3 linked regions of the Arabidopsis thaliana genome follow. The protein of the gene in region 2 interacts with the protein of the main gene of each other region in a pairwise test. Each region holds a gene or a part of one and is shown on either strand. Other genes may lie near its edges. The genes, in order: TGA10, CPL3 and AT4G23670.

Region 1 (13,464 bases), on a different chromosome or scaffold from region 2:
GTTACAAGAGATGAATACATCGGGAAGGTTGTGTTTGATATGCGTGAGGTTCCTACAAGAGTTCCTCCTGATAGTCCACTTGCACCTCAGTGGTACAGATTAGAAGATCGGCGAGGTGAGAGTAAGAAAAGAGGAGAGGTTATGGTAGCGGTTTGGCTTGGGACGCAAGCCGATGAAGCATTTCCTGATGCTTGGCATTCGGATGCTTCCTCTGTTCAAGGAGAAGGTGTCCAAAGCGTGAGGTCTAAAGTCTATGTATCTCCCAAATTGTGGTATCTGCGGGTTAATGTCATCGAGGCGCAAGATGTTGAGCCTAGTGACAGGAGCCAACCACCTCAAGCTTTCGTTAAAGTACAAGTTGGGAATCAGATTCTGAAAACAAAGTTATGTCCTAACAAGACGACGAATCCGATGTGGAACGAAGATCTTGTTTTTGTAGCTGCAGAGCCATTTGAAGAACAGTTCTTCTTGACGGTCGAAAACAAGGTGACACCAGCTAAAGATGAAGTCATGGGGAGGCTGATCTCACCTTTGAGCGTATTTGAGAAAAGGTTAGATCACAGAGCTGTTCATTCCAAATGGTACAACCTCGAAAAGTTTGGGTTTGGGGCTCTGGAAGGAGACAAGAGACACGAGCTCAAGTTCTCCAGCCGAATCCACCTACGAGTTTGCCTTGAAGGAGGTTACCATGTAATGGACGAGTCAACTCTGTACATCAGTGACGTGAAACCTACGGCAAGGCAACTATGGAAGTCTCCTATTGGCATCCTTGAAGTAGGAATCTTGAGTGCTCAAGGGCTATCGCCTATGAAAACAAAAGACGGTAAAGCGACAACAGATCCGTATTGTGTTGCCAAGTACGGTCAAAAATGGGTGAGAACAAGAACCATCATTGACAGCTCTAGCCCTAAATGGAATGAGCAATACACATGGGAAGTGTATGATCCTTGTACAGTTATCACACTGGGAGTTTTCGATAACTGTCACCTTGGCGGAAGTGAGAAATCGAACAGTGGAGCCAAAGTGGATTCGAGAATCGGGAAGGTAAGGATCCGGTTGTCGACTCTAGAGGCTGATAGAATCTACACTCACTCCTACCCTCTTCTTGTTCTGCAAACAAAAGGGTTAAAGAAAATGGGAGAAGTCCAATTAGCTGTGAGATTCACTTGTCTATCCTTGGCTCACATGATCTATCTTTATGGCCATCCTCTGCTTCCAAAGATGCATTATCTCCATCCATTCACTGTGAACCAATTAGACAGTCTAAGATACCAAGCAATGAGCATTGTCGCAGCACGGTTATCTCGAGCAGAGCCTCCTTTAAGGAAAGAGAACGTAGAGTACATGCTTGATGTTGATTCACACATGTGGAGCATGAGAAGGAGCAAAGCTAACTTCTTCAGGATAGTGTCTGTGTTTGCAGGCTTGATTGCTATGAGTAAATGGCTCGGAGACGTCTGCTACTGGAAGAATCCGTTGACGACGATATTATTCCACGTTCTCTTCTTTATATTGATTTGTTATCCGGAGCTGATACTCCCAACCACATTCCTCTACATGTTCTTGATAGGGCTTTGGAATTTCCGGTTCAGGCCGCGTCATCCTGCTCATATGGACACAAAGGTATCTTGGGCTGAAGCGGCTAGCCCTGATGAGCTAGATGAGGAATTTGATACTTTCCCAACTTCAAAGGGACAAGATGTTGTGAAGATGAGGTATGATAGGTTAAGAAGCGTTGCGGGTCGGATCCAGATGGTTGTTGGAGACATTGCAACGCAAGGAGAGAGGTTTCAGGCTTTGTTGAGTTGGAGAGATCCGCGTGCGACTTGCTTGTTTGTGATTTTTTGTCTTGTTGCTGCGATGATTTTGTACGTGACGCCTTTCAAGATCATAGCTCTTGCGGGTGGGATGTTCTGGATGAGGCATCCTAAGTTCAGAAGCAAGATGCCTTCTGCTCCAAGTAACTTCTTCAGGAAATTACCTTCAAAAGCAGATTGTATGCTTTGAATTGTAAAACTTCTTTGTGGCTTTTAGGTCTTCTCTGCTCGTAACTTGTGTTTCTTGTGTTCGTGTGTTTATCTGCTCTGTTTTATTATTTTGTTCTGTTTGCTTCTATTCTTATCATGTACTGTGTTGTTGGGTTTACTCTAAAACCCAAAAGTAGTGGGCTTTAGTTATAATGTTTTGTTTGTACGTTTTTTCCTTCTCTTAAAAAGAAATAAAATTCAATAGAAAACTTTAGGGCCCAAAAATTTACGGCCCAAACGAATTTGTAGTCCAAGAATAAACACATGTATAATCTGATTGCTAGTGTATGTACTTAGAAACTATTTTTTTTCAAATATTTGCGGCTAAATCAATCTCGTTTTTTGTGATGTAAAAAGATTTTTGTTGTTTTGATTTGACCATGCATGTGTACTACTGTAATGTTCACTTTTATCAGTCAAGAAATAAAAATAGAAGAGTTGAAAAAAATTAACTGGTGACAGCAAAGAAATGAAAAGTAAAGGAGAGAGAGAAGGGCGTTGAACCCAAAGCAAAACGGTACTGATCCCAAGTCCCTGACGGTATCCTACAGAACTCACCATTTGTCACCTTCCTCACTGGTCAATGCTTTAATTTGACCTAACAAGTGATAAGTCTTGCATGCAACTGCAATTGTTGCCAGCCTTCTATTTTTGTTTCCTTTCAATACTCTCTCATGTTCTTGTGTTTGGAATTGAAGATCAAGTATAATTTTTCACTTGAATTTGCATAAGGAAGAATTCATTAAAAGGTATGGAATACTTGTCTATATATATAATCTGCATCTTGATTAAAAACATAATAGTAAGAATCATATAACAAAAAGAAGCCAAACAATTTTCCCTAATTGCACTGTATTTGAGTAGAGAGACGATATATATGATAAAGAGGTCAAGCTGGCGGCTAACTAATCAACCTATTCTCTTGTTTTTGTTTTTGGTTTCCTTCATCAGTTGTTTTAGTATTATCCATCTTGCCGAGGACGGGCTAGCCAGAGAGAACTTAGAGCTTGAAGACGGTGGAAGTACTCCGCAACGGCTAGAAGACACCGTGCTTCTTGACGGGTCGTCAACAATTGGTTCAGCCTATGGATCGTTTGGTGCCTCAAATTATCCGCCTGTAAGTTTCTAATGTATTAGCTAGTTCAAAACTAAATAAGAGTTATAGGGAAAATGGAGAAATAGTAAAAGCAAAACAAAAGATGGACAAAGTAGTGCACATGTTATTGACTAAGACCAATTAAGGACAAATAATCGAATTGGACCATCATTAATCTCATAAATATAAGTATTAAAGACTAACTAGAGAGGAAAAAAACAGATAAAGGACTAATTAAGCATTATAATGATTGTGCATGACCCGAAATTATGTGGTTGATTGACGACTAATGCCGATTATTCAACATGTTGATCGATCAAAAAATCAAAGCTTGTTAGTAATTCACTAATAAGAACACGACACCAACATGTCAAAAAGGTGAAACCGTGAATTCCATACCCTCGGTCCCACGCCATGCTTCATGATACTTTTGATCATTAATTAGAATCATACATATATAATCAACCTATTATCAATGATATAAAAGTAGACAAAAAAATGCAGAATCAAATGTAAGTAAAGGAATTATTCTCAAGGAAGTGTTTTCGGAGGATGGGATACTTGGGCAGTTACGTCCATGACATCATGCAACGATATGGGCTCCAAGCATTCCATGTTTTTATTTGATGTGATATATTATAGATACATAATATATGTATTTTTCTTTTGGACTACATATATTGGAATATGTATACTTAATACATACTTTCATGGTGCCAATTGTCACGTGCGTTTAGAGAAAATTGAATTCATTACCCCTTTTTAGTAACTAACCCCACATTTACCACCTATTTTAAAGTTGGATCTTTCTCCAAATTGTGAGCGACTAACCGTGTAGCGAAACACAAAAACTTTTTTTATAGGCGGAACAGGAACAATTTAGAACTAATTATATTAAGAAATCATTGAAAGATGCCAACTTGTATATGCATGTATCTTGTATAGAATTAATTAGCCGAAATGTCCATTTGCATATAGAGTATAGACTTATACATTAATATACACAAGCAGATATATATATTTCTTTGTTTCAAAAACTTGCCTGTCCTAAACTAGTAAATGATTAAGAAATAAATATTAAATTAATAAACTTGGTCGTCTAAGAAAAGCAACCCGACCAAGTTGATATAAGACAAGAGAAGTGTTTGTTAGATACCTACTTGCATAATGTCCGAATCAAGAGGCAAATACTTTCCATTTCATATACATATACATGTTAATGCATAATTATTAAGTTTGCGAATTAGTTTTGACATCTTCTTTAAAATCAACCACTTTTATTCTATATACACTTAATATATTACAAATGTCCTCTAACAAATTATGGCCGACGTTATACCTATATATGAGTTGTACACAAAACAGACACACACATATATACAAACATCTATATAAATTTAGATAGCGTGTTATAACAGCCAAATATAGAAATATATAAGTATATGATAGTTGAGTTTAATAAGGAGTAGTTCAAAGAAACAGAATATGTATTCCTAGTCTGATTAGGACCACATATATCCTCTAGGGGTCCACTTGTATATCAACTCTATAGGTATATTTTTATATAAAGATAAAAGATTGGTATATTGATATATAATTGCACATAAACTTAAAAAGAAAGAGTTATAAGGGTACCTGGAGAACGAAGCCCTCGAGAGCAGAGAGCTTGTTGAGAGCTAAGGACATGTGTGACATGAAATTGGATAGATGAGGAGGAAGTGGTGCGGAGGCAGGCGGGAGGGAGTCAGAGACAATGCTATCGGAAAGTGATTGATTCAACGCCTCGAGGCCTTGCGAGAGAGCCTCCTCGGCCTCTTGTGTGGACTGTTGCAGCCCACATATCCCAACTATCTGTTGCTCCGTCAATGGTTCTATCTGGTTCACAATCACCTGCATGCATGCGTTTCTAATTAATACACACAAGTTGAGATATCGAGGATTAATTAACAATGGTCTTAATGGATGCATAAAGAACGTTGAATGCATTAAAGTGTGTAGTGTATGTACTCTGCACGAGTTACTAGCTACACCCAAAATCTCTTCTTTCCTTTTTATTTTCACTAAAAAGGATATAAGATTGAGACATTGCCAAAGGTCTTGTCAGATATGCACACCATCCATATATTAATTTGTATTATTAATCGGCTATCGTAGGTACTCATATTGTTTAGAATAAAAAGTAGGTTTAATTAAAATGGCTTTACGTAACCATTTTAGAAAAGAAAAAAAATGATAATCATCCAATTGACGAGCGTGCTAAAAATGTTAAACAATTATTTATTTTTGGTTTGTTTATTATGGTCGTCTCTGTTGAATTCCATGGTGGTTTATGTCTATCTCTCTCTCCTATGGATCCCATAAATCGAAAAAACAGACAGGCACTTTCTTTTGCATTATGCCAAAACCTACCTATTTCTAGAGATACTTCACCATCACACACAATTGCATGCATTCTTAATTTGTTTTCAAAATAATTTTACGTGTACCTTTATTATTGTCGTAATATAAAGACATTCACGTATATATGTTGGTTTTATACATCTAGAGTCACCCCATGCAATGTTATGTATATATATACCTCGTCCAACAATATCACTATATAGTCTATCTCTTGTCTGTCTTATCTATTATTACTATATCGTACCTCTTTTACGAGAATCAAAGACTAAATTAAAAAAAAAAATCTAAATAATAAAATAAAGTTGGAAGTACTATATTCTGTGGACATATATGTACGATATAAATAATAACAATGTCACAATTTCAGTCATTATTAGTATATGTTCTGCAAGTAATCCACAAAATTGATGGTATTAATGATTGTATCCTGGAATATTTTAGGTTCTAAGATAAAATTTAAAATGATTAGTCTTCAAGTAAAATTCCAAAATTTAGATTTATTAATCCATATTTGATTAGTTTACAATATCATCATGACTAATTATTGTGTGGGATGTGGCTCGAATAGAATAAGTAAATATCTCTCGAAAAACCTAAATATATGTATATGGCTATAAGAAAAGACGAGATGTACCTTAATGATCTCCGATGGACGGAAACCACCCATCCACAAGAAGCAACGTTCAGCTGGAGTTTTCCATGCTCCAGAAATGAGGTGGAAGACATCGGTCTTAGCGACCATAGCCTTGAGGTTAATCAAATGGTCATAATGAGCTAAACATGTGTCCACAAACATCCTAAGCTCGTTCTCGGACAAGTGTTCTTGTGTTGCCACCCTTAGTTCGTTTAATAGCCTCTGCTGCTCCTCCAGCCACCTCGCATATTCCATATCGAACACCGCTGCTTCTGCTTCACATTGCATTTACTCAATATCTCATTCTCTCGGTTTTCAAATTTTACGGTTTTTGAGTCATCACATTTATGAAACTATTAACGTACCAGAGCTGATGTTGCCAGGGCCAATGGGTAGTCCACCTTGCTGTTGATCTCCTCCTATAAGAGACCCTCCAAAGAATACGCCCTAAACATATATAGGAAATCAAATTAAATTGGTACATTTTAGACTTTAGGTTAAATACAATATATATGAAAAGACAGGTTCAAATATTTACTTGGGATCTGGCCCGTTGAATCTCTTGTTCTAGTTGGGTCAGTTTGATCCTACATGACTCGAGTTGCTGAACATAAGCCTGTCGTAATTTACCAAAGCAAATAACGTTATAAATAAATTTGGATATAAAAACTATATTTGCAACTTACAAATATTGAATGCTGACCTTTTTACGTAATCTGCTTTTTCTTGCTGCTTCTCTGTTTTGTGCTAGTCTTCTCAATGTCTGTTGAGAATTAAATTAATAAAGAAACTATCAAAAACCGAAAAGTAAAAAAAAAAAAAAAAAAAAGAATCTTATTAATTTTCTGCAGTTGTATGAATATACACTCACTTTAGGGTCTGACGATTTAGGTATGTCATGGTCCGATGAGGCAAGACCCTTGCGGTTCCCTTCCTTCTGCCATAACATTTAGATATGACCCATTAACTTCTAAAAACAACCACAACAAGTCTATATCTATACTCGAGTTATAGTTCGACAAAGCAATTAAATGATTAAAAAAACATAAATGGATAGAGACCTTGATGGATTTAGAACCTTGAGGAGGTTGATGAAACTGAGAATGATTGGTCAAGTCCATGGACGGGTCAGAAGCTGGTCGAGTGGAACCACTAGGTTGAGCAGCCGGAACTAATCTTGTATTATCGGTCTTACCAAACACATTATATAAAACAACCAAAAAACAATCAAATCACTACTCAATAGAAAAATAAGAAACGTATAATAATTGGTCTGACTTGATATTATATGAAATGGCTAGTAGTTGCGCTGACATTATATTAAATTAGAAACAGAAACCAACTAAAATTGGCATATATATATAGAAATTTATAAAGTAATAGTAATAATTATTACATTGTGTGTAGAAGAAGGAGGTGGCTCTATGTGCATAGGCTGAGATGGAAAGATGTTGAGCGTCGATGTTGGAGGTCTCATCGCCAAATTCTCTGCCATAAGATGAGTCATGTGACCATATGTATGAGAAATGGTCTAGTTATAACAAGTCATGTATATAAATATGTGAGCGGACTAGTTCTTCTAATTAGAAGAAAAAGGACAGAGAGAGAAAAGGGTTTAAAGAAGTGTAAGATATATGGATTTGAAAGATTTGGTGTCTGAAAAGAGAGAGGATCTGGTCAAAGCTGAAAGAATAGAGTACTGATGGCAGAAGAAAGATTGAAATCTGTTTGGCATGCTTTTGCTGTGACTCTCTCTCTCTCTCACACACCTAAAGGGAATCTTCCTTATCTGCTGAAACCAAAAAAACAAACCCCAATTCCCAAAAAAGAAAGAAAAGAGAGAGAGAGAGAGTGCATACGAGTTGTGTGATGATGATGTAAAGGAGAAGGAGCAGTTGATGGAGGATCATGATGTCCTTGTCCATCAAGATAGAGGAAGAGTGATGGGTCTATCTCTCCAATATCATACCCATCTTTGTTCCTGCACACATAAATTAAAGCTCTCTTATTAAAAACATGGGGATCATCAATCAATTCAAAAAGTTATTAAGTGAGTAAAAATTACATGAAGTTTCCATGGGAAGACGTGGCGGAGGATGATGATAAGTGTTGATGATGATTCTGGTGATGACCTTGCATTTGATGATGATGAAGAGAAGTCTATATATAGGATGATGTTTGAGAGAGCGTGTGATATGATAGTAACAGCAGAAGATGATGAAGAGAGATAGATTTTGATCTTCGATCTCTCTTATGTTGGTCTTCTCCTCTGAGGCAAGCTGATGATATATGATGATGATGACGGTGCTTTGATCACTAGCTAGAGAGATGATGATATACCTTCTTTTAATTCTTGTATATTATTTTCCTTTCTCTATATTCTTGGAAAGAGATAGAGATTATGTAACGGAGCATTTAAAGCTCCTTTGGTGTTTTTTTCAGAAGAGAGAAGAGAGGTCGGTTATATTGAAGTGGAGAGGGTTCAAAAACTTAAGAAGGATATTGGAGAGAAAAATAGAGATTGGAGAGAAGAACCTAAAGACAAACTCCTTTTTATTTTCTGATATTTTTGTTGTATAAGTTTCTTCTACCTTAAAATATTAGAAGACGACTTTGTTTTTATTTTTGTATGAAACCAAGAAAAATATTCTGATAAAGCGGTCAAGAACATGTCCTTTTCCATCCCCTCTCTCTTCTTCTTCCTTCTCTCTAGTCACATTGCTGATAACAAACTTGTATAAATATTTTTTGTTTGTTCTCTAAATTATTATTATTATATTTCTCCTATATATATTATTCAGCTATTAGATTTTTACTTTAAGATATACTTTTCAATTCCATCATCTATATTATTATTATAAGATTTTTTATTCGATTTTTAATGATCCATTAACCGCTCTTACATTCAATCTATAAACACTAGACATTATATGAAACAAGTTAAAAGTCATTATTATGTGATTTATGAACTTAGATTGTCAAATATATTGATTGAATTTTGTTTGTATCTCTAACTGTTCCATTGTACTTTGTTTGAATGGGCACTAATATGGTCTAGGTTTTGTTTTTGTTAAGCTAATTGGTTTGATCAAATTGAGCTGGTAAACTAATTTTGATTTCTTTCCCATCATTCACAAAATATTCATACAAATAATTTCCTCAAAATAGTTTTAACTTGTAAAGAAAAAAAAGTTTAAAATCTGTAGACTAATCCGTAAAGGTAAAACCGACGTTACTAGATAGACCAGTTTATGTTAACCGCGGTAATGGACCATCCAACCAACCCATATAAAACCAATAAACAATTTAATCTGCCGCGGACCGGAGTAAATTGGTTCGGTTAGTTCAATAACCGGATTCGAGATATTTGATGAGACCAATGAAATTATGCGTTCTTCTGTAGCAAACTCTTGAGACTCCAAAACGTTAAACTGTGTGAGACTTCGGAGATAAAATTTCCCAGAAAGCGTGAAAGGTTAACCGGAAGAAAATGCCGTCACAAGATGATGTTCAAAATCTTCCAATCGATATCACCTTCTCTCGTCTCGGAGGTAATGCAGAACTATCAATTACGAGTACACGGAATTTTAAATTTTTATATCTCTTTGGTTTTTTTTTTTCGTTTTCTTCGTTGGATTCGAATCTGCGTTGGTGATTATTGTCTTCATTTGATTTCAATTTTGTTGAATTTGAAGAATGGTTGGTGGATCGGAAGAGAATTCCGGCGGATTGGAGGAAGAGGGTTGCTGTGATCAGAGTCAAAATCTTAAAAGAGTTCTCTTCTTTGCCTAAAGAGATCGATCCATTCTTTCAAACCCTAGATCCTGAAGGTTTTAAATTCTTCAAATTTTGTTCTTTTATCAGTTTGGCGAATTTTCAAACCTTCAAAACGAATTCGTCTTAAATTGCGTTTTGGTTCACTGCTCTCATTTATAACTTAAAGTGTTAGTATTTTGTTTGAAAATGCCAAAGAGATTTTATTGGCATCTTTGTGAACACCGTAAGCTTGTTTGTTGTTTGGTTATGTCTGATGATTGATTAGGAGGAGGGCCTTACTTGGTTGTATTCTCATTCAAGTTTAATGTTGTTTTGCTTCCAGTGATCGGTTACTTGGAGGTCAAAAAGGTGTATGAGATTCTCCTGAAGACAACTCCGGAAAGCCGCAACATCTTTGGTCGACTTTCGGGTGCTTCTGTAAGGAAAACTGTCTCTCTGTTTCGCACTTTTGTTTGTGTTCATTGTCTCAGCTGTATAATGCTCTTTTAGGGTGTTTGGGAAGCAATTGTTCGTGCGTTTGAAAAAGATCACATTTATCTTGGGGAGGCAGCTCAGATAATAATTCAGAATGTTAATTACGAAATGTAAGTTGGCTTCTACTTGATTTTACCTATAGTCTCTCTACTTTGGCATTTCTGATCTCCCTAATATGTTTTCTTTTTGCAAAACATGAAGCCCTTATCTGAAAAAGCAAGTGCAAAAGGTTCAGCAACAAATGACAGAACTTGATCGTAAAGAAGCTGATATCAAAAGGAGCGTTGCACTCTCAGCAACAAAATACGAGGATGCTTGCCGAGAGCTTGGATTGCAGGTTTACTTGTAAACTTGGTTGATTTTCATCTATATGTTTTTTAAAAGGATCATATAAAGTTTAAACATTTAAGATATCAGGGAAACAATGTGAGGCGTGAGCTTTTGGAGACTGCGAGTTCGCTTCCTAGTACCTTTAGCAAGATTCTGGAAGTTATCAACAGTGACTCAGTAACAGGGGCAATGGAGTACTACTCTGCCTATGTTCAAGATGTTCATACTGAGAAAGATGTAAGATCACTGTTTAACTTCAATCTCTTTCTCTTTAAAATTTTGGTCCTTGTTTCCTGGAGATTGAATTGACCGGCTTCTGATCTGTCTGCAGAAGCCTTTGAGGATTGTCTTACAAAACCTGAAATACATTCGTGAAAACCCTCCATCATTAAGCGTTTTTGGGGACTCTGAAGGTCTCGATGCTGATAATATTCAGTCATCTGAGAATGCAAATGGTACAGATGCGGCTGCAGACAGCATTGATTGGGATATTACGGTTGAGACTCCTGAGATAGATTGGGATGTTAGTATGGTAGAAGAAGTTGATAGTGGAAATGATCTAGGTTCATATGAAATTGTCAATGCCAGCGATATTCCTGAGAATTCTCCATTTAAAGTGGAAGAAAGCCAAGGCCTTGAGGTTGATGTTTCTGAGATTTCTTGGGATGTAAGTGTTGAAACACCTCAGGTAGAAGAAATAGGTGATTCAGCTTTGCTAGAATCAAACCAGACACAGTTGACAGATTCTACAACTCAAGTCTTAGGGAGTGGAGGAGAGAGGAGCCAGCTGTTGGAGACAGAATATAGGAATAAGATCCTTGATGATTTGTATGAGGTACTCTTATCACTAACTATCTAATTCTCAGTTTAATCCTGGATATGCTTCTTGAGTTGATGTCGTTTCTCTTGTGTCAGGTCAAGGCATTTTTGAACCAGCGTTTGATAGAACTGAGAAATGAAGATACGCTGTCCTTGCAACACCACGTGCAAGCAGTCTCCCCCATGGTTCTTCAGCAGTATTCTCCTGAAACCATAGAGCCAATGGTGGTTGACATCTCCATGGCCATTTCATTGCTAACAAACAAGAAATCTCGGGATCTGATCATGATCCTCAACTCCAAAAGGTGCGTTAGGATAAAGAATCTCTGCCAGGGGATCACAGTGAGTACCACAGCTTCTGATATATGTATTTGTTTGTCGAACAGATTCCTAGATAGGCTTGTTTCAGAGCTGGAGGAGAAGAAGCACCGTGAAGTGAAGTTAAGAGAGAGCTTGAAAGATGTGGGTAGAAGACGCATGGAGCTGCAGAATTCACTTTCTGCTATATGGCCAAAACAGGTAACCTCATGTTCTTAAAAAGCTTGTTTTGGCTAAACTGTGGATTATCAGAAATTTGGAATTGGAAGGGGCTATTATCTAACAAATTCTGTTTATTGATTTTGGTATTGAATACAGGAAGCTGCACTTTCGAAAACAAGAGAACTCAAGGAGCTATGTGAGACAAGTCTCTCTTCCATGTTTGATGGAAGACCTGTGAATATAAGAGGAGAGATCAATACATTGTTGAACGCTGGGGTTTCTGCTTAGTTTGATCTTTGGGATTTGCTAGAAAACTTAGTTTCAGTACACCAAGTGACCCTGTTTCTTGCTTTAGGATTTTGCCTTGTTTCAAACTCTTTTGTATTTCTATTATATACCAAGAAACTTCCTTTTTACCAAGACTAATACGTGTATATCATCATATGCTAAGAACTATTCTTTTCACAGTAAAGTATATGTGCATGAAGTAGAGATACAGAAAATGTTCAAGAGGAGAGGTAGCTGAAGGTAGGTGAGGAGATGAAGCGTGTGCGTGTTGAGCAGAAAGATTTACTAAAAGGGTCGGTCTTGTCTGCTACACTACTGCTTGCTTCCTTGTTCTGTTTCTGTATCAGCGCAGTGAGGGCTTCCACTATTTCTGAAACCGGTGGTCTGAACTCCTTCTCTGCCTGCTTATGAAAGAATGGTTAGTTAATGTAATGATCCTGAGTGAAGAAACTCTAATGACAATACCTGAGTGCATAGGGAGATAATGTCTGCGTATTGTGAGGCGACTCTTGAGGAGAATGTGCCGGCTATGCCTCCATCAATCATCTGTTCTAAGCTTCGCCTGTCATGAAGTCTGGTTGATGCCCATTTCACCAGTAGCTGTTCTCCTCGGGGTCGTGAGCTGCAAAACATCCATCAGAAAAGGGTCATGATTAGCTTAGCTTAGGCATCAATGATTATATTATTATGTGAAACGCTTGTGTACCTGTCAAATGCTTTCCTTCCTGTTAACAGTTCTAAGAGTAGCACTCCCAGTGCATAAGTGTCACTCTTTGTGCCACTGCTTCCTGGTTGTCCATGTTCTGGTGCTATGTAGCCAGTGTTTTGTATCGCTATTTCTGAAGCCTGCTCTAAATCACAACTCATTAGGTCTCTCTGAGTCAAAGAATTAGGTGACACATCAGATGCTGTCTTACTTACCCGAAGTTTAACACTGTTGCTTGTAAGTGGCCTTAAACTAGCAAGCCCACAGTCAGCAATACGAGGTGTAAGTTCTTCGTCTAGTAAGATGTTTGTTGCTTTCAGATCGCTATGGGCTATAGGAGGGCAAAACGACGAGTGCAAATAGCTGAAAGTTTTTGATTCACCAGATAGGGAAGAGTCAAAATAAATAACTGCAAGGGTAGGGAATAGCTACT
Region 2 (8,616 bases):
AACCGCTGGTTCTGTTTCGAACAACAACGCCTGACCATTTCGAAAACGGAGAGTGGAACACTGGTGGGTATTGCAACAGAACGATGCCGTTTAAAGAAGGCCAAGCAAATATGAAAACTGTAGATGATGTGATGCGTGATGTTGAGCTTGAGGTGTTTCAGAAATTTGGGAAAGGTTTTGGCTTAGGTTCCAACATCAGGCTATTAGACACGACTGGAATGTCTCTTCTCCGTCCAGACGGGCATCCGGGACCATACCGGCATCCAAATCCTTTTGCTGGAGTTAAGAATAAGAGCAATGTTCAGAATGATTGTCTGCATTGGTGCTTACCTGGTCCAATTGATTCATGGAATGATGTGATGGTGGAAACCACGCTTAACCGGGAACGGGAACTATACGATTTAACCGGTTAATGTACCACGATATCGCTTGTAGCTAGTTACAGTCAATAGCCATTCCACTTGTCAATGTCTCGTATATGATAGTTCTATATTTTAATTTTGTAATGGTTCTAAACAAGAATAAACGATGCAAAATTTTGCAGTGTGAATTTTGTTTAAGGTGTTGTTCTGTGGAAAGCTAATAATGATCTTACTAGGACTTGTGATGTAAAAACAAACTTGTAATGTATGCTCTGCATTTTCTTTAATCAGTAGCTTGTTACACCTGTTATGTGACTGGAGAGACCAAGTAGGGATCACAAACTGAAAAAACGACTTGGGCTTGGAAAGTTAACTTTGCACCACTACGAGGACATGAATCTAGTCTAAATTCAACCATATCGATAACAAGAAGCAAGCAGTGACTGTAATAGTATGCTGAATAAACTATGTCAAGAATAAAAGCATGCGACAAGAGCAGCTACAAACATTTGGATCAGCCGATATGTACTTGGAAGGTGGACGACAAACTAAAATTATGTTGATCATTATAAAAATAGAGATAAATGCGCATTTTGAATGAAAGAAAAACATTTTTTTAAAACCTATGAATTAAAACCTATGGTTTTTGTGATCATCATCATGAGAGCGTTTGTTCTTAGGTCAGTTGTAGTTGAGTTTCGTCTTGTTAATTGGGATGTTTACATTGATCTTTTGTCTTTTTATTGATGACTGTTTGTTTATGTTCATATATATTATATAGTGTTGTCGGCTTTGCCTCGTGTTGCTTAGTGTTTCATGTCTTTAATGTTCATGTAGTCTCTCTGTTTTGATTTTTTTTGTAATACTCTCTTTTCTTGTAATCCAAGTCAACGACATCAATAATATTTCTAAAGTGGACGAAGAACTCATCTTGCAACAAGTGAGCACTGAACTTGAAATCAGAAAAGATGTAAGTTAGAGATCAATTTATATGCAAAGTATTCACTAGTAGCCCATCGAGGATAACTAAAATCTGAGATCCGTGAACATGAAAGATTAAACATACATGTGTAAAAAGGCACCTACACCATAATTTGATTGTCCTGATCCCTTCTTACCAGTGACATTAATAAAACATTTGAGGCTAATGAATAAATTAAAAACACCGTGCCATTCTACTTTACCAGACATAGTCGTCATACCGTTTTTTGTAGCTTGTGCGGATCGTCCAATAATCATTGACAGTCGTCACTGGTGACATATGCCATACGATGAACATTCGGTAACTTCAGCAAATTTGGCAGATATCGAAAACAAATAATTTGATTTCACAATATTGTGTAATTTGTTTTTTAGTATTGGTTGTATATATTTCTTTGGACATTTGGTAGCTATAGCAACTATTTACTCGTGGAAATAATTTATTTATTTCTGTATGAAATTATGATAACATATCTGTTTAAAAGTTGTATTGATGCGACAGCTTTTCTTTGATTTAATGCTACCTTATACTTGTTCAAACTGGCTGAAAAATACATACAAAATTATTAAATTCCAACCACTTATCACACTATCCTTTATGTGATAATAAGTTTAGCTGGGCAATGTTATTCATTAAAAATTGGTGATGCAACACAAGTCGAATTGACAAAGATATAATAATGAGTTAATAGGCTTTATGATTTAGCGGGACATGGACATATATTCAATTTTGTAAATCATAACAAAAATGATGGGCTATGAGATAAATTCCACTTTCACTTTTCTTCACTCAAACAAATGCTAAAAACTAATCTATCGATGAATGATTATATGCCTTTTTATCGTCGCCACTATGACCTAAAATATTTCAAGAAGTCAATTTTTTAATTTGTATAGAGCAAAATGTTTTGCAAATAAAAGAAAAACATTGTTATGAAAGAAAATAATACAGTAGAAACTCTATAAATTAATATTCGATAAATTAATAAACACGATAAATTAATAAATTTTGTCGGTCTCAAGTCGGGTCAATGTAAAAATTAACCAAAATCGATAAGATAATAAGATAATAATCTTTTTGAAATCCCTATGTAAAAATATGATCCTAATAATATCATAAATTAATAATCATAAATCTTAAGCATACATTCTAATACTAATTTTATCTAAAACTTTTATTCAAGCCACAATTACAACTCTTTTTAGAGTACAGTTGGTATGATCTCTTTTGTACTCACATAACTCCTTACGTATTTGATCCGTCATATTTGGTTTTGTAACATTTTTTAATCATTGCTAAGATTTGTGTTAAAAAAAATTGGATTAAGCCTCACGTTAACGTCGTAAATATACGGACACAATATTTTGTAAAAAAATAAATTAAAAAGTCAAGAGAAAAATAATTTTTAACATAATTGAATATACGAACAACAAAATATAAGAAAAATTAAATTAAAAAACATATTTAAAAGAATTTAATATTGTATTTTACGTAAAAAAATTTATAAATATTTATTAATTTATAGGATAAACTAATATCACTATAAATTAATAAAATTTTATGGTACCAATATTATTAATTTATAGAATTTTTTATGTAATAGCAAATTACCATTCCAAAATTTAATGTTAATGGTAAAAAAAAAAAAAAAGAGCGAAAGAATTTTATTTTATTATAGCTAAGAAAATTGGGGAGAAAAATCATTGCGGAAGCATTACGTTTGCATTTCATCACATATTCACACGTGCGCTCAAGACATTTCACACGCACAAATATAATTGACCCACAATCACAAAAAAGCTGGTCATCACTAATTTTTTTCAACAATTTCCCTACCCCTCTCCAATAATTGAAAATTTTATATATATTCTTTTGGCAACCATATTTAATAAACATATATATATATATATATTGGTTTCAATTATGGATATTATATAATAGCATTATTATGTATAATTCCCAATTTTATGTAAGTTATGAATATATTTTACACAGCTTGTTAAATGCTTTACTTTAAATCTACATGAAAATCAAAATGTATTAATATGTCCACAATTTAAATGGTTGATTTCATATTAACATGAGAAATCACAAAATAATAAGTATAAAAATGAATTACGTAAATGATGATTTTTTAGTTTAAATAATCGGTCACCAAAATATTCATATTCGAACATGGTCGCCACAAGCGACATTCTACAAAAAAAACACATACAAGTAAATAGAAAATAGAATTTCTCCTCTCAATGATTCACACAAACTCTCTATATAAAGCCATTACTTAATACCACACAAATTACAAAAAAAAAAAGAAAAAAGGAGATAATAATCACAAACTACAAAAGTAGAAAGAAGAAAAAAGAACAAAGTATCAGTTCTTGAATATTTGCATCAATGGAGGAATCCAAAACACCTCACGTTGCGATCATACCAAGTCCGGGAATGGGTCATCTCATACCACTCGTCGAGTTTGCTAAACGACTCGTCCATCTTCACGGCCTCACCGTTACCTTCGTCATCGCCGGCGAAGGTCCACCATCAAAAGCTCAGAGAACCGTCCTCGACTCTCTCCCTTCTTCAATCTCCTCCGTCTTTCTCCCTCCTGTTGATCTCACCGATCTCTCTTCGTCCACTCGCATCGAATCTCGGATCTCCCTCACCGTGACTCGTTCAAACCCGGAGCTCCGGAAAGTCTTCGACTCGTTCGTGGAGGGAGGTCGTTTGCCAACGGCGCTCGTCGTCGATCTCTTCGGTACGGACGCTTTCGACGTGGCCGTAGAATTTCACGTGCCACCGTATATTTTCTACCCAACAACGGCCAACGTCTTGTCGTTTTTTCTCCATTTGCCTAAACTAGACGAAACGGTGTCGTGTGAGTTCAGGGAATTAACCGAACCGCTTATGCTTCCTGGATGTGTACCGGTTGCCGGGAAAGATTTCCTTGACCCGGCCCAAGACCGGAAAGACGATGCATACAAATGGCTTCTCCATAACACCAAGAGGTACAAAGAAGCCGAAGGTATTCTTGTGAATACCTTCTTTGAGCTAGAGCCAAATGCTATAAAGGCCTTGCAAGAACCGGGTCTTGATAAACCACCGGTTTATCCGGTTGGACCGTTGGTTAACATTGGTAAGCAAGAGGCTAAGCAAACCGAAGAGTCTGAATGTTTAAAGTGGTTGGATAACCAGCCGCTCGGTTCGGTTTTATATGTGTCCTTTGGTAGTGGCGGTACCCTCACATGTGAGCAGCTCAATGAGCTTGCTCTTGGTCTTGCAGATAGTGAGCAACGGTTTCTTTGGGTCATACGAAGTCCTAGTGGGATCGCTAATTCGTCGTATTTTGATTCACATAGCCAAACAGATCCATTGACATTTTTACCACCGGGATTTTTAGAGCGGACTAAAAAAAGAGGTTTTGTGATCCCTTTTTGGGCTCCACAAGCCCAAGTCTTGGCGCATCCATCCACGGGAGGATTTTTAACTCATTGTGGATGGAATTCGACTCTAGAGAGTGTAGTAAGCGGTATTCCACTTATAGCATGGCCATTATACGCAGAACAGAAGATGAATGCGGTTTTGTTGAGTGAAGATATTCGTGCGGCACTTAGGCCGCGTGCCGGGGACGATGGGTTAGTTAGAAGAGAAGAGGTGGCTAGAGTGGTAAAAGGATTGATGGAAGGTGAAGAAGGCAAAGGAGTGAGGAACAAGATGAAGGAGTTGAAGGAAGCAGCTTGTAGGGTGTTGAAGGATGATGGGACTTCGACAAAAGCACTTAGTCTTGTGGCCTTAAAGTGGAAAGCCCACAAAAAAGAGTTAGAGCAAAATGGCAACCACTAAATATTTGATGTTCTAATATGATTTGTATAATCAACGGTGGGATTTGTGCAAATGTGTTTCTGTATGTATATGTATGTTCTACTTTTCTTTGCTTCGTTTGTCTCAACTTTTATTTGTATATGTTTTTGGCTTTTGATTAATTCGTAGAAGATGTTGCAATTAAGATCAGCTTAGAAGAAGATGTTGCATATATAGTTAAATATTGTTCAAGAGAATCATCAATTGTCTATCGTCAATAGTTAAATATATATATGGCTTATAAAAATAACAGTTTGTTCAAGTTCTAAACATTTGTTGCAATCTCAAGAGTTACATATATAGATCATCAGTGAGACACATAGATTTCAACAATATGTTTGTTTGGTAATGAGATACGTTATGGGTTTTTATTGAAGATCGTCCGTTTCGTGGTTATGGATCAGAGATTAAGGAAAAACTAAAAGTCTAAAACGTGGATGACCAAGAAAATAAGTGTGTGTGTGTGGAGTAGGTGAAATAGCGTTAACGACAAATATACAGAAAACATGTGTGGGACCTGAAGACAGCATGTCATTTTATGACTTGTAAAACGACTTCCACTTTTGTTTTGTTTTGAAGTAGGTTATTTGCCACTTTCATGTGTCAAGTGTTTAAGGCTTTAAGCAGAAATTAATGAAATATCCACGTACAACATCTACGACTTAGCTTCTAGAAATTACTAGGATGGCAAAAAAATAAATTTAGGCTTGGAAGGCCCAAATATTCGTAGCCCACACAATAAATGGTTCTTGAGAGTTAAATGGTTTGGGATTTAAGAAAGTTTTCTTCTTATAACAGAGTTGGTAAATTTAAAATACAACGGAATATAATCGAAACAATCAGTGAAACTATAGAGATATATTGATCACTTTTCAATTTTTCATGACCCAAAACCTCTCAATTTCTCCAGCGGTTCTTCCTGGGATCCTCCCAGCTATCAGTTCCCACCTTTCATCAAATAATAACACACAAAATTCAGCTTTTACTATGGTGTTACAATTAAATTATTTTCCTACGAAATAGTATTCATTATTAGTTAAAAGATCAAACCTGTCACCGACAAGCTTATGCATTCGAGAGACCAAATCTTCTTCTTCTTGACTCATGTTCACAACTTCCCACTCAAGACTACTCACTTCTGTTCCTTGTCATCACCAAAATTCAGATTTCTCATTATATATAGATAAGTATAAAAAAACATGGAAAAATGAGAAAACGAAGGTGTTTAAGTTTTCAGCTTACCTTCAGAAGAAGAAGTAACGATGGAGTTGGTCTTGGGTTGCTTAGTCCTGCGATGGTTATCCATGTCAAACGGCACCGTATTACAAAGAAGAAGAAGAAAGAAACTAAGAGAGTACTCTGAGAGAGTGGTCGTATTTTGAAGGTTGCACACGAACCATCATTTCTATTTATAGCAACTAACCAAATCAAGTAACCAACGGTCCAACGGGTTTGGTCGGTTTCTATGTTAAAGGATTTTAATTTACTAAATTGGTTTTGTTCTCATTAATTATATTAATTATTGTTAGCTATCTTTGCAAGTTGCAAGTTTGCAACCAATAAAAACCACAAGTACCCGTGACTTCATTTACTCCGTTGTGATGGCTTGGACTGGAACATAAGTTGTATAAATATTGATACATGCCGTTAATTAAGATCATTAATAATCAACAACAATTGTTTTCAAAGCTTTTCTGATTGCTATTCCAGTTCATTCAATCAGAAATTATACTCCCTTTGTTCATAATAGATTGAAATTTTGGATATATTAAGACAAAATCATTTTTAATTATTTTAACATTACTTTTTGTATCAAACATTTTTCAATGCCTAAGAAAAACTTACAAAACTATTGTCCTCGTGTACGTTTGTAAAACACAATAATATTTTCAACCATTCATGTTTTCTCGGCGAGTTTGTTTCACTAAACTGATTGTTTTCATCATTTAGCTTAATTGCTAATAACACATAACTTTCTATAAATTGGATTAATACCATGAAAAGAATAGAATCTACATTATTTAAATTAAAACAATGATCCCCCAATCATGTCTCTTTAATATTTAAGATATACTATAACGTGTCCATCACAAAAGTAAATGAGTGTCACTACGAAAGATGAAAATGGGTTGGATACTTGCATCCTCAATCATGCAAATTTGGTCCTAAATTGGCTTAAAGCCAAAAAAAACAAAAAACAAAGTGGTCCTCGCAGTAAGCAACGTGTCGTGTGTTCGTTACAACTGCTTTATTGGTTCGGGTTATTCAACACTATTACCTGCAATAAAATCTAGTAACAACTTTTTTCATAGTATATCGATCGTTAGATCATCTATATATACATAAGAGGACCTATAAATAAACTTACAAGTCCACGAAGGGAATATCCCCAAGGCAAGACTATATTTAATTGCCATCCCTAGCAAACTTTCAACTTAACCTTTTTCAGTGCTAACAATATATTCTCAGTAAATTCCGAATTTAAGTTTGGAATGAGGAAGAGAAACGTATATTCTCAGACTAACACCTGATTTAATTAATGTGGTCTTGTTCTTTACTAAGTTAATATTATGAGTGACACATTAACACTAACCGATTTTATTAATGGGGTTTGTCAATTGTCATTTGGTTCAGTAAGAAGAAGGAGAAATATGTTTTTGTCGAAGCGTCCTCAAGCTTATCATTTGATGCAATGCGTGGTAGAGCAACATATATGTTTGCGATTAAAATGGTAATCTAGAGCAACATGTTTCATTACTTAATGAAAAACGGAGTCAACACATAAAAATATATCATCATACATTGTCACAATATATACGTTTAGTGGCTTGCCAATGACCATATTTTAGAGGATGCATAAACTTTGATAGATAATTTGTTGCATGCAAAAGCTATCTATAGCCATGTAATACTTGTAACCATCGGATAAAGAAGTGTTATATGCGAGTTGCAAACCATCCATGGTCATCATTATATTGGCCTGAAGAACATCTTTAACAAAAGATAAAATGAGTGGATTGAACCACATATGGAGATTGATGAAGATTTCATTCTAAAAACATTTCAAAGCCAAGAACTAATGGGCATCCACTTTTTACATCAATGCAACACTTTTTAGATGAGATGAAGATTTCATTCTAAACATTTAGTTAAACGTCTAGTTTAGGCATCCACTTTGTTCATCAATGCAACACTTTATAGATGCCGATTAACGCATAGCACTTAATAAAGGAAACATGGATTATTCTACACATTGGTTTATGCTAAGTATATGTCACACTTTTCATTACCCCATTTAACCTTTTTGTTATGTATAGGGAATCCAGAATAAGAGAAAGAAAGAGATCTATCCCACAAGATCCAGTAATCACAAGATATTTGGAAATTTCCCCACAACTTTTATTTCGTCCAATACAC
Region 3 (9,599 bases), about 12 Mb from region 2:
ACGTACAGTATGCATTTAGGCTCCAAATTAATTGGCCATATAATTCGAATCAGATAAACTAATCAACCCCTACCTTACTTATTTCTCACTGTTTTTATTTCTACCTTAGTAGTTGAAGAAACACTTTTATTTATCTTTTCGGGACCCAAATTTGATAGGATCGGGCCATTACTCATGAGCGTCAGACACATATTAGCCTTATCAGATTAGTGGGGTAAGGTTTTTTTAATTCGGTAAGAAGCAACAATCAATGTCGGAGAAATTAAAGAATCTGCATGGGCGTGGCGTGATGATATGTGCATATGGAGTCAGTTGCCGATCATATATAACTATTTATAAACTACATATAAAGACTACTAATAGATTTCGATCGTTGTGATGGTTATTCTCCTTTCATCGAAATATTTAGAGATCTTAATTAAGAATCAGAAGATGAAAACAAAAAAAATGATATTAACATTTTAGTAAAAATAATAAAATTATCAAGTAAATATATAGACTTATTTCTTAAAGGTTTTTCTGCAATTTTTAAAAACAAGTTCTATAACAATGATATTTTTTATTTTATTTTCTACAACAATGATATATTTCTTAAGTATAAAAAAAAATAACAAAAACAATTTCTGTAGGTAGACTTCTTCATCAATGCAAGGTTAAGCGCATAACAGTCCAATTAAGGTGAAAATGAGATGTATAATATGTGAGTGTGACCAAAGTAATATACGTACTCTTGTTATTTACTTAATTGCTATCTAGAAATTTGCATATACCACACCGACTAATTATAGTATTATACCACTAGATGTTTACTATGATCTACATATATGAAGAAAAAAACAATGAAATATGTAGATAACTGAACGTACTTTATTTAATACTCATTATATCGAAACCGATATATGATGAGCATAACAACATATCACAGCATATTCCAAAACCAAACAGTTACAGAGAATAGAAACTCCACAAGACCCCCTTTATTATATTGATTATCGAAAAGACACCATAATAATACAATATCGATCGAGATAGTGATGACGGTGATGGTTGTGGTTAAGCTTTGTTGACGTGGCCTTCAATGTCAACAACCATTTGCTTGACGAATTTCATGTAGCCGCTTGGTTCGGGAAAGTCATCGTTGCGCTTCTCCCATATCATAGTGATTTTGCAGACGCAGCTATCCTCAGATTTGGGAATAAATTCGTAGATGATATCAAATACTTTGAGATGCTCCATCACGTGACCATCCAGTCCTCTTTTCGTCAATGTTTTATTCTCATCATCTATCTCTCTCTTCTCTTTGAACATCTCCTTCTTTCCATCTTACACACATGTGTTTATTAGTTACAATTTCCAACATCCCACTAGCTAGTTATACCATAAGGATTAATATCTGACTATCATGTTTTTCCGTTTATATTTTTCAAAATTATTCTCAAATATGAAAATACTTTTTACTTTTAAACATATGACTTTCGTTTTCATATGTAAACATAAATGCAAAATATGATTATTATATATGTTTTTGGTCTTATAGAACAAATTCCTTAATTAATGATCATATGTAGTATTTCATATTTGGCAGTAGACCACCAAAACCATAGTTTCGGACGCACATAGGCCGTAAAAGTGATAAATATATAGAGAGAAAGTATAAGTAAATGACTAAATGTATACCATATGTGTAGTCCCAACTCCTGATAGACCCGTGAGAGTCATGTTCGCCTTCGTGAACAACGACATTTTGGATGTGGTGGCCAATGGCGTCAGCGAAGACATGGTTCTCGCTCTTCCAGCTCTTGTAGTGTTTCTCCGCCGATCCTTTCAACGGAACCTCCGTCACGTACGTTCCCGATGTCGCCATTTCTTTCTCTCTCTCTCGTTTTAAAGTTTCTACTTGTTTTCTGATTGATTATACTGAATACTTGTCGTCGCTAGCTCATAGGTTTATATAGGGACCGTGACGGTTAAAAACAAGGTTTCTACCGTTTCTTTAAATCATTTGATAGTGCATACCTAAAATCTTCTCTGTTTCTTTTTTAACTCAAACACTATTTAATGATAGATGTGTGTTGTTTTTTAACTTTTTTGTTGAAGAGCTTTCAATTAAATTGTTATATTTAATGTTGGACCACGTTATTTACGTGGGTAGTTGGCACAGCATCCTTTAGAAGATAATCACGGTTCATGATTCATGCCCCATACATATTAATCGCGAGGAAAAATACGGTATAATAATGCCCCATACATAATGATCGCGAGGACAAATAATGTTGGTATATAATAATATATATGGAAAATCACATTTTTTTACTTTCAAAATTTTACTGGATGGCATTTTAAATTATAAAATAATTTGACTAACACTATAATCAATCACCAAATAATTTTACTAACATTTTAAACTTTAAAATTAGATTTTAAATGAAATTCAAACTAATAAACATACATATATGGGATAGAGATTTGAAGAGAGAATGAGAGATCATGAGACAGGCTCATAAAAAAAAAGTGGAGCCGTTTACTCAATCTCTAGTAATCAGAATAGGTCATTTATGGGCCCATACAATTGGTCTTTTGATCCAAATGGGCCAAGAAAAACTTGGAGTCTAATTAAGAAATACATACGTCCTCTCTGTTAACGCTTTAATTAGTATCCAAATTAATTAGCCATAGAATTGGAAGCAGATAAACAAACCCTAATTTACTTATCTTCTGGGAAAAAACTACTGTTTTTACACTACAAAAAAACAATTTAAAACATGCAAAAAAAAAGAAAAATAATTTTTATAACTCAGGAAGTTCTAATTCTAAGCTCATAGTTTGTCTTCAGACTCGGAACCAGCCGTTGATAATGCTTATATGGGACATTAATCATGCTCTCTTATACTTCTAAGACTCTATTTAGAAGGATAAAGTTAACGTCTTTTAAAATAAGCTTTATTACTAGTTGAAAGAAACACTCTTTTATTTTTCTTTTCAGGATTCCAAATTTGTTAGGATCGGCAATAACTCATGAGGGTGAGACACATATTAATTAGCCTTATCGGATTAGTGGGGTCAAGTATTTGAATTCGGTAAGAAGCAAGCAATAATAGATCTCGAATGCATCAGAGTAGTTGCATTTTCCGTAAAACAAATAAACTCATCTGCATGGTCCAGGGATCCTGTAACATCAATCATTGAACGCATATATACGTTACAATTTTATAATGATGAAACTGCAAAGTCCGATTTTGGGTGATCTCTCTGGTGGTACCACGTTTATGGTCGTCAACTCAAAATTTTACAATCAGGCACATTTACAACATAATTTATACAATTATACTAGATCAAGCGGGGTACTTAATTTGTTATGTAGTGAAAACTTTGTAGTTCTATGTTTTACAATTTTTAGTGAATTTTGTAAAATTTTATGTTTCATAAACATGTATAAATAAATATATAAATATTTATAGATGCCGTTTCTTATGGTTCGTTTCCTCCATGTTTAGGAATTTTAAATATCAGAATATATTATTAGAAAAAAACAAGCAAATATTTTGCATAAACGATGCACTTGTCATTTTTTTTCAATACGAAGGCCTTTATTTTGAGAGAAAAATGGAAAACTTATTAAATCGATAGATTATTTAGGGTCTTTCGGCAATTTGTAATATCAGAATTCTATCACAATGAAATTGTGTAGACAATTCGTCATCAAGATTAGGGGCATAACAGTTCAATTGAGGTGAAAAACAAATTGCGGGAAAAATTAAAAAATTACGGGATAGGTCTTATTTTGGAACAAGATTATGTGTCAAATGGATTTGAATCAATATTTATAAAATTTTAAAATAATATTAACATACCGTTTTAATACATGTTAAATCCTAAGTATATTAACAATTGTTTCGTGGAATTCTGATATACATTACTTAATAAAAATTAAAAACTATAAATATAAATATTTTATAAATATATATAATTTACAAACTTTTATAGAAACTAACTTTAATAATAAATTATTCTGCAGTGAATCGCGGGTTAAAATTTAGTATATACATGAGTATGACTGGTTCCTAGAAAATTAAGGCCAAAATAGTAAAATATTTTTTTAAAGTTATCATAAACACTTTTAAATTTTGGGGGTCTTTTTCATAAAAATATCTTTTTCGGAGATCTATTTGAAATAATTCTCTTTTGGAAAATTTTGGAGTCCACATACATTTGTTTCTCCCGGCTTCCCTCATGGCCGCCCTGTACGTGAGTATGACCATAATATACGTACTCGTGTTATTTACTTAACTGTTATTCAGAATTTTGCCTAGTCCACCTATACTAGATCGTTAACTAACACCATTAGATGTTTAGTAATCCGTATATGAAAAGTCATAAATTATAGATAAACACTGAAAATCTGAAATGTGTAGTAAATTAATCTTAAGAATCATTATATCGAACCCGACATATGATCATGAACATAACAATATATCGAAGCATCATACAGAACCAAACGGTTTACACATAGAAATTAACGATCCACAAGACCCCATTTATTATACTGAAAACATCATAACTTATAAATCGAGATAGTGATGATGATGATGATGATGATGACGACGACGACTGTGGGAATGATGATTAAGTTTTGCTAACGTGGTTTCCCATGTCAGCAACCAAGCTCTTGACGAATTTCATGTACCCGCTTGGTTCTGGGGAATCATCGTTGCGCTTCTCCCATATTAAAGTGATTTTGCCGATGCAGGTATCCTCAGATTTGGGAATGAATTGGTAGACGACGTCGTACACTTTGAGCTGCTCCATCACGTGACCCTCAAGTCCTCTTAACGTCAACGTTTTGGTCTCATCGTCTATCTCTCTTCTCTCCTTGAACACCTCCTCCTTTCCATCTTTACACACACATGTTCATTGGTTCAAATCTAAACCTTAGGAGAGATATATTCACAATAATACGTTCTTTAAGACTGTAACTAGACCAAGACCAAACCAATCATGCCATAGAAAACAAAACTAGACCAACCAATCTAGATTGTATATTAACTAATGAACTCGATTGTTTGCTAATTTTTGCGTTTTTTCGTGTTTAATGTACGCAAACACAATCATGTGTTCCAGTGTTTACGTTTACCATTTTCAAAGATCTTCCTAAAAATGAAAAAACTTTACTAATAGAATATCTGACCCTCGTTTTCTTATGTAAAACATATATGAAAATTGAAATAGTCAAGACCTATATATTATGAATAGTTTTAGATGTATTCTTGCGCCTACTTCTGACAATATGGTGCAACTATTTAATTAACCATCATAATTCATATTTGGCTATATACTACGAAAACCCTAGTTTCACACATACACCATAATATTGTGTATAGATATATATAGTGTTAAATAATATGTTGATATATATAGAGAAAGTATAAGTAATTGTATACCCCATGTGTAGTTCCAACTCCTGATAGACCCGTGAGAGTCATGTTCGCCTTCGTGAACGGTAACATTTTGGATGTGGTGGCCGATAGCATCAGGGAAGACATGGTTCTCGTTCTTCCACCTCTTGTAGTATTTCTCGGCCGATCCTTTTAGCGGAACTTCCGTCACGTACGTTCCCGACGTCGCCATTTTTGCTCTCTCCCTCTCGTTTTAAAGCTTCCACTTGTTTTTTATGTTTTGTTTTGGTTGATGAGATACCACTTGTCGTCGCCGTGGTTTATATAGTGAATCTGACAGTTAAAAACATAGTTTTTACCGTTTCTTTTTATCATTTGATAGTGCATGCTAGAATCTTCTTTTCTTCATCTTTTTTAACGTACGTATTATTTAATGGGCACTGATGGGTCATCAACTCGTCATAAAAATGTGTACTTTAATTGGTAGGCTGATTTTCGACCACCACGTTATTAATGTGGGTAGTTGCCACAACATCCTTTAGAAGATAATTATGACATAAAAATATATTTTTACCAAGAAATGGAAGAAATTTTCTATGATTGTTTACCATTTTTGATTTCATACGAGACTTTGAATTTTTTTTAAAAATTATATAAATAGAATGAGATCCATTTCATAGCATGGTGATGCATTTAGTAGTTCGGATTTGGTTTGAAATGATTGGCCGAACTACGTTTATGATTTGGTCTGTCAAACCATAACAATTTTCGAGACCTAAAATAATGTAAAAGGGTGGAAATCTATTGCCCATACTATCTTTGAGATTTATTTTAATTATGTTATTGGGATTGGAAAATGACAATTTTGTGTCTAGAGTATAGTCCGTAGTTATTATATAGTTTGGTATTGATTTCCTTTATATTTTAATATTGGTATATCGAGTATGGACCATTCATCGATCATTGTTGACATAATTGCATCTTATAAGATGAATACAATCAAGTTACGACACCGAATGAGAGCTTTATGAACAATCGAATCATATATTAACATCGAGTTAACATGTTTTAATTTACCATATATATTTTAATTAAGAATCTCCTAATTTGTTATATTTTCTCGGAATATACATTAGTAACAAAATGGTTTGGTCTTTATCATAAGTACAAACTTTGACATTGTATTTGTTTACTATATGCGAAAGCTAATCAATGTTTATCTGATACTTAAGCTTTCACTTATCTTGAAACCATACCATTTCTGTTCAAAGCGTTGATATCCCCACACTATATCTGCCCTTGCCGTTGGGCCATTATACTATGAATCCATAAAATCAAGAGAACCCCTTCAAAATTCATATAGAGATTACGAATTCCCTTAAATTCATAGCCCATACCCCAAATAGAGAAAGACAAAAAAAATAACGGATTATACACAATTCCACTGACCAGTTGAAAAAAAGTTAGCAACCACTTTCGGCAAGATGGATCATTAATGGACCTATATATTATTCTACTTGGTCCAGCTTAGATCGGCCTGATAAAATGGGATTGCAAGTACTTGGGATCTAATGAAGAAGAAACATATATATCTTCTTATCTAATGAAGAAGAGACATCCCAAAAATATATTTCTTTGACAGAAATAATTGACTATTGATAAACAAAAAGACAACACCAAATAAAAAGGCCACAAAAAAAAACACTACTTATTAGTAACACATTATCTCTGTGTACATACCAATTTTCAAACAAAACAAATATTATTCGCTAGTTAGTAACATTCATAGAGCTTAATATCCATCTTAACTCGGAAATACTTATCCCCTTGAAATAAATCACATAATAATTATAGATAAACAAAAAGACAACAGCAAAAGAAAAGGCAAAAAAAAAACTTAATTATTGTAAACACATTTCTCTGTGTCAACATAAAATTTTCAAACAAAACACACATTCTTAGCTACTTAGTAACATTCATAGAGCTTAATATCCATCTTAACTCGGAAATACTTAGCCCCTTGAAATAAATCAGTCACGAAGGTAGCGATCCCACGAGCCATGAAGAAGTCACCTGTCCCACCAACGACCGATAGATCTCTTGTTGGCTCCATCATCAAATCAGCACCCATTATGTTCAATGTCCCTTTGTGTTCCGTTGAGTTAAACACCAACGTGTAGGAAAACCACGAATTGAAGTCCATCTTCATGTCATAGAAATAGAAGCCTTGTGCGCGAGCCACGGGTTTTGAGAGATAGTTCTTGTCCATTGTTATGGGCCCATCAAAGATCACAAACTTACCGAACTTGAAGTTTCCTAGTCCTGGAGGGCTCACGATGGCGGCGGAGGTTGCGTTTGCTACATTGTCGCCATCGTAGAGGATGTCATGGAAATAGAACGAGAAGTGTTTGCAGGGTTTTTTCTGGTCGATTGTTTTTCGGAAAGATAAGACGGTATCGGAGAAGAGTAAAACTAATAAGAAGAATGAGAAGAGGGCTTTGAAGAGTTGTTTCTCTACTAGAAATGCCATGGTTAGCTAGAGATTAGTGAGTTGTGAGATGTGTTTAATGAAGGAGGCTTAAACCCATTTATATAGAAGTATTATTCACTTGTTTTAATAAATAATTTATTTGGATAATCGTTTTCAAAGTTTGAGGGACATATCTAATGGGTTGTTGATGTTTTGCCGATTTATATTTAAGATATAAATTAGAAAGATCATAAGGTTTAACGACCATGCGGAAGCGGGGTTGGTGGTAACTAAGCTACAACCTAATTTCACTTTCTTGATAGATTTAATATTTTTTGACAGGAAAAAGATATATATATATATATATATAATGATTTGAAACTATTATTAAACGGTATGGTGAGTCCAACCTAAAAGCATAAAGTCGAAGGCTAGCTAGCTAATGTAACAGCAAGTGTATACTAATTATCTGAAAAATAAATTTAAACAAAACGTCAAACGAAAGTGTTACGCAGAAATGGAAAAAAAGACCAATTATTAAAAGACCATTTTGGAAATATTGCTTTGAGACCGCCCATCATTCATGTGCGGTCCATATGGCTAAAATTAGGTAACTTGTAAAACAAATCACCAAATCACGTTCTAGCTTTGCTTCTAAGATTGCTACTAATCAACGATTTTCTTGAAATCACGTTCTATTTATTCGTAATTATTCGGACTAACGGATATTGAAAAATCAACTCCAGATTTAAACAAGATGGACAATTGATGAAACAATGTGGGAATAAAGATGTTGAATTGATATGATACGAATTTTACATAGAAAGCCAAATTTTGAAACTTCAACTACGGTAGATCTCGTCAGGAGGACATGATCACGATTCATGAAGATGTTTATATAAAGTTAATATTGATAATGTATTTTATGTATATAGATGTTATAATTATACAAGGGCATGCTCGTGTACTAGAACAATTATTCCCCTCTGCCGCTTTACTTTCAGTGTAAGACTAACATATAAAAAAACATTATCGGCGAAACTTTATAATCAATTGAGAAAAAATCATTTAAGAAAGCGTCCTAATTTTCTTTCAATACGACTCTTTTTCAATCAAACAAAAGAAAAAAAATCGTCCAATTTTTCTCATATATATTTTAAAAGCCGTATAAGTCAATAATATTTGTCACTAACTCCTTCCTAATACATGAGTAAAAGCATAAACGTCGAAAAGTCAAACAAGAGGATTTGATTAAAAAGAAGAAAAAAAGAGTTCAAATGGGTTTAGTTGCCTAACTAGTAACTACCCTTTTGTTCCTTTGATTTCAGAGCAGACCCATGTGAAAAGTAAACAGCTTCTAAACCAATTATGTTATTTACAAACTTCACAACGATCTAACTATCTTGAAAATTAGAAAAAGAAAAGAGAAAAACTGCTTTGAAACCATGAACCCCAAAGATACTAAAAATCTGAACTAAAGCTCTGTAAAGTCCTTTGAAAATGGAGAAGTTAGACAGAGTTGAAAATCAAACCACACCACTATGTCATGAAACGTGGCCGAAGAGTTTTGGTTTCACTGGGTGTCGTGCATGCTCATGTTTCTAAGACTTTGAAGAGAGTTAAAAAAAATAGATTGTTTCTATATTTTTCTAAAGATAATTATAATTCACATTATTATCAAAAAAGTATAAATATAATTTAGTTTCGTGAGAATGTTAGGATATCAATAAAAAAAA

What was found.
Region 1: the proteins of CPL3 (region 2) and TGA10 interact in a two-hybrid assay, tested with the Arabidopsis thaliana proteins (one large-scale study listed by BioGRID).
Region 3: the proteins of CPL3 (region 2) and AT4G23670 interact in a two-hybrid assay, tested with the Arabidopsis thaliana proteins (one large-scale study listed by BioGRID).

What each region holds. Positions count from the first base shown.
Region 1 is NC_003076.8:2,115,743-2,129,206, reverse strand, and holds TGA10 (bZIP transcription factor family protein), read right to left. Parts: upstream 8,736-13,464; 5' UTR 8,297-8,735; coding exon 8,223-8,296; intron 8,139-8,222; coding exon 8,017-8,138; intron 7,646-8,016; coding exon 7,554-7,645; intron 7,348-7,553; coding exon 7,219-7,347; intron 7,095-7,218; coding exon 7,029-7,094; intron 6,921-7,028; coding exon 6,861-6,920; intron 6,774-6,860; coding exon 6,696-6,773; intron 6,605-6,695; coding exon 6,523-6,604; intron 6,433-6,522; coding exon of another isoform or gene 6,430-6,432; coding exon 6,158-6,429; intron 5,014-6,157; coding exon 4,759-5,013; intron 3,143-4,758; coding exon 2,990-3,142; 3' UTR 2,750-2,989; downstream 1-2,749. Other genes in the region: FTIP1 (C2 calcium/lipid-binding plant phosphoribosyltransferase family protein), read left to right, coding at 1-2,007; AT5G06830 (uncharacterized protein), read left to right, coding at 9,648-9,708, 9,853-9,987, 10,257-10,351, 10,424-10,518, 10,610-10,745, 10,826-10,975, 11,070-11,573, 11,654-11,862 and 2 more; SRF2 (STRUBBELIG-receptor family 2), read right to left, coding at 12,544-12,726, 12,791-12,947, 13,032-13,171, 13,247-13,394. UniProt on the Arabidopsis thaliana protein: Together with TGA9, basic leucine-zipper transcription factor required for anther development, probably via the activation of SPL expression in anthers and via the regulation of genes with functions in early and middle tapetal development.
Region 2 is NC_003075.7:458,423-467,038, reverse strand, and holds CPL3 (CAPRICE-like MYB3), read right to left. Parts: upstream 6,561-8,616; 5' UTR 6,506-6,560; coding exon 6,442-6,505; intron 6,344-6,441; coding exon 6,250-6,343; intron 6,148-6,249; coding exon 6,072-6,147; 3' UTR 5,965-6,071; downstream 1-5,964. Other genes in the region: TBL26 (TRICHOME BIREFRINGENCE-LIKE 26), read left to right, coding at 1-413; GT72B1 (UDP-Glycosyltransferase superfamily protein), read left to right, coding at 3,739-5,181. UniProt on the Arabidopsis thaliana protein: MYB-type transcription factor involved in epidermal cell fate specification. Acts as a negative regulator of trichome development, including endoreplication, by mediating lateral inhibition.
Region 3 is NC_003075.7:12,331,793-12,341,391, forward strand, and holds AT4G23670 (Polyketide cyclase/dehydrase and lipid transport superfamily protein), read right to left. Parts: upstream 2,113-9,599; 5' UTR 1,865-2,112; coding exon 1,678-1,864; intron 1,323-1,677; coding exon 1,054-1,322; 3' UTR 637-1,053; downstream 1-636. Other genes in the region: AT4G23680 (Polyketide cyclase/dehydrase and lipid transport superfamily protein), read right to left, coding at 4,624-4,892, 5,439-5,625; DIR6 (Disease resistance-responsive (dirigent-like protein) family protein), read right to left, coding at 7,360-7,923.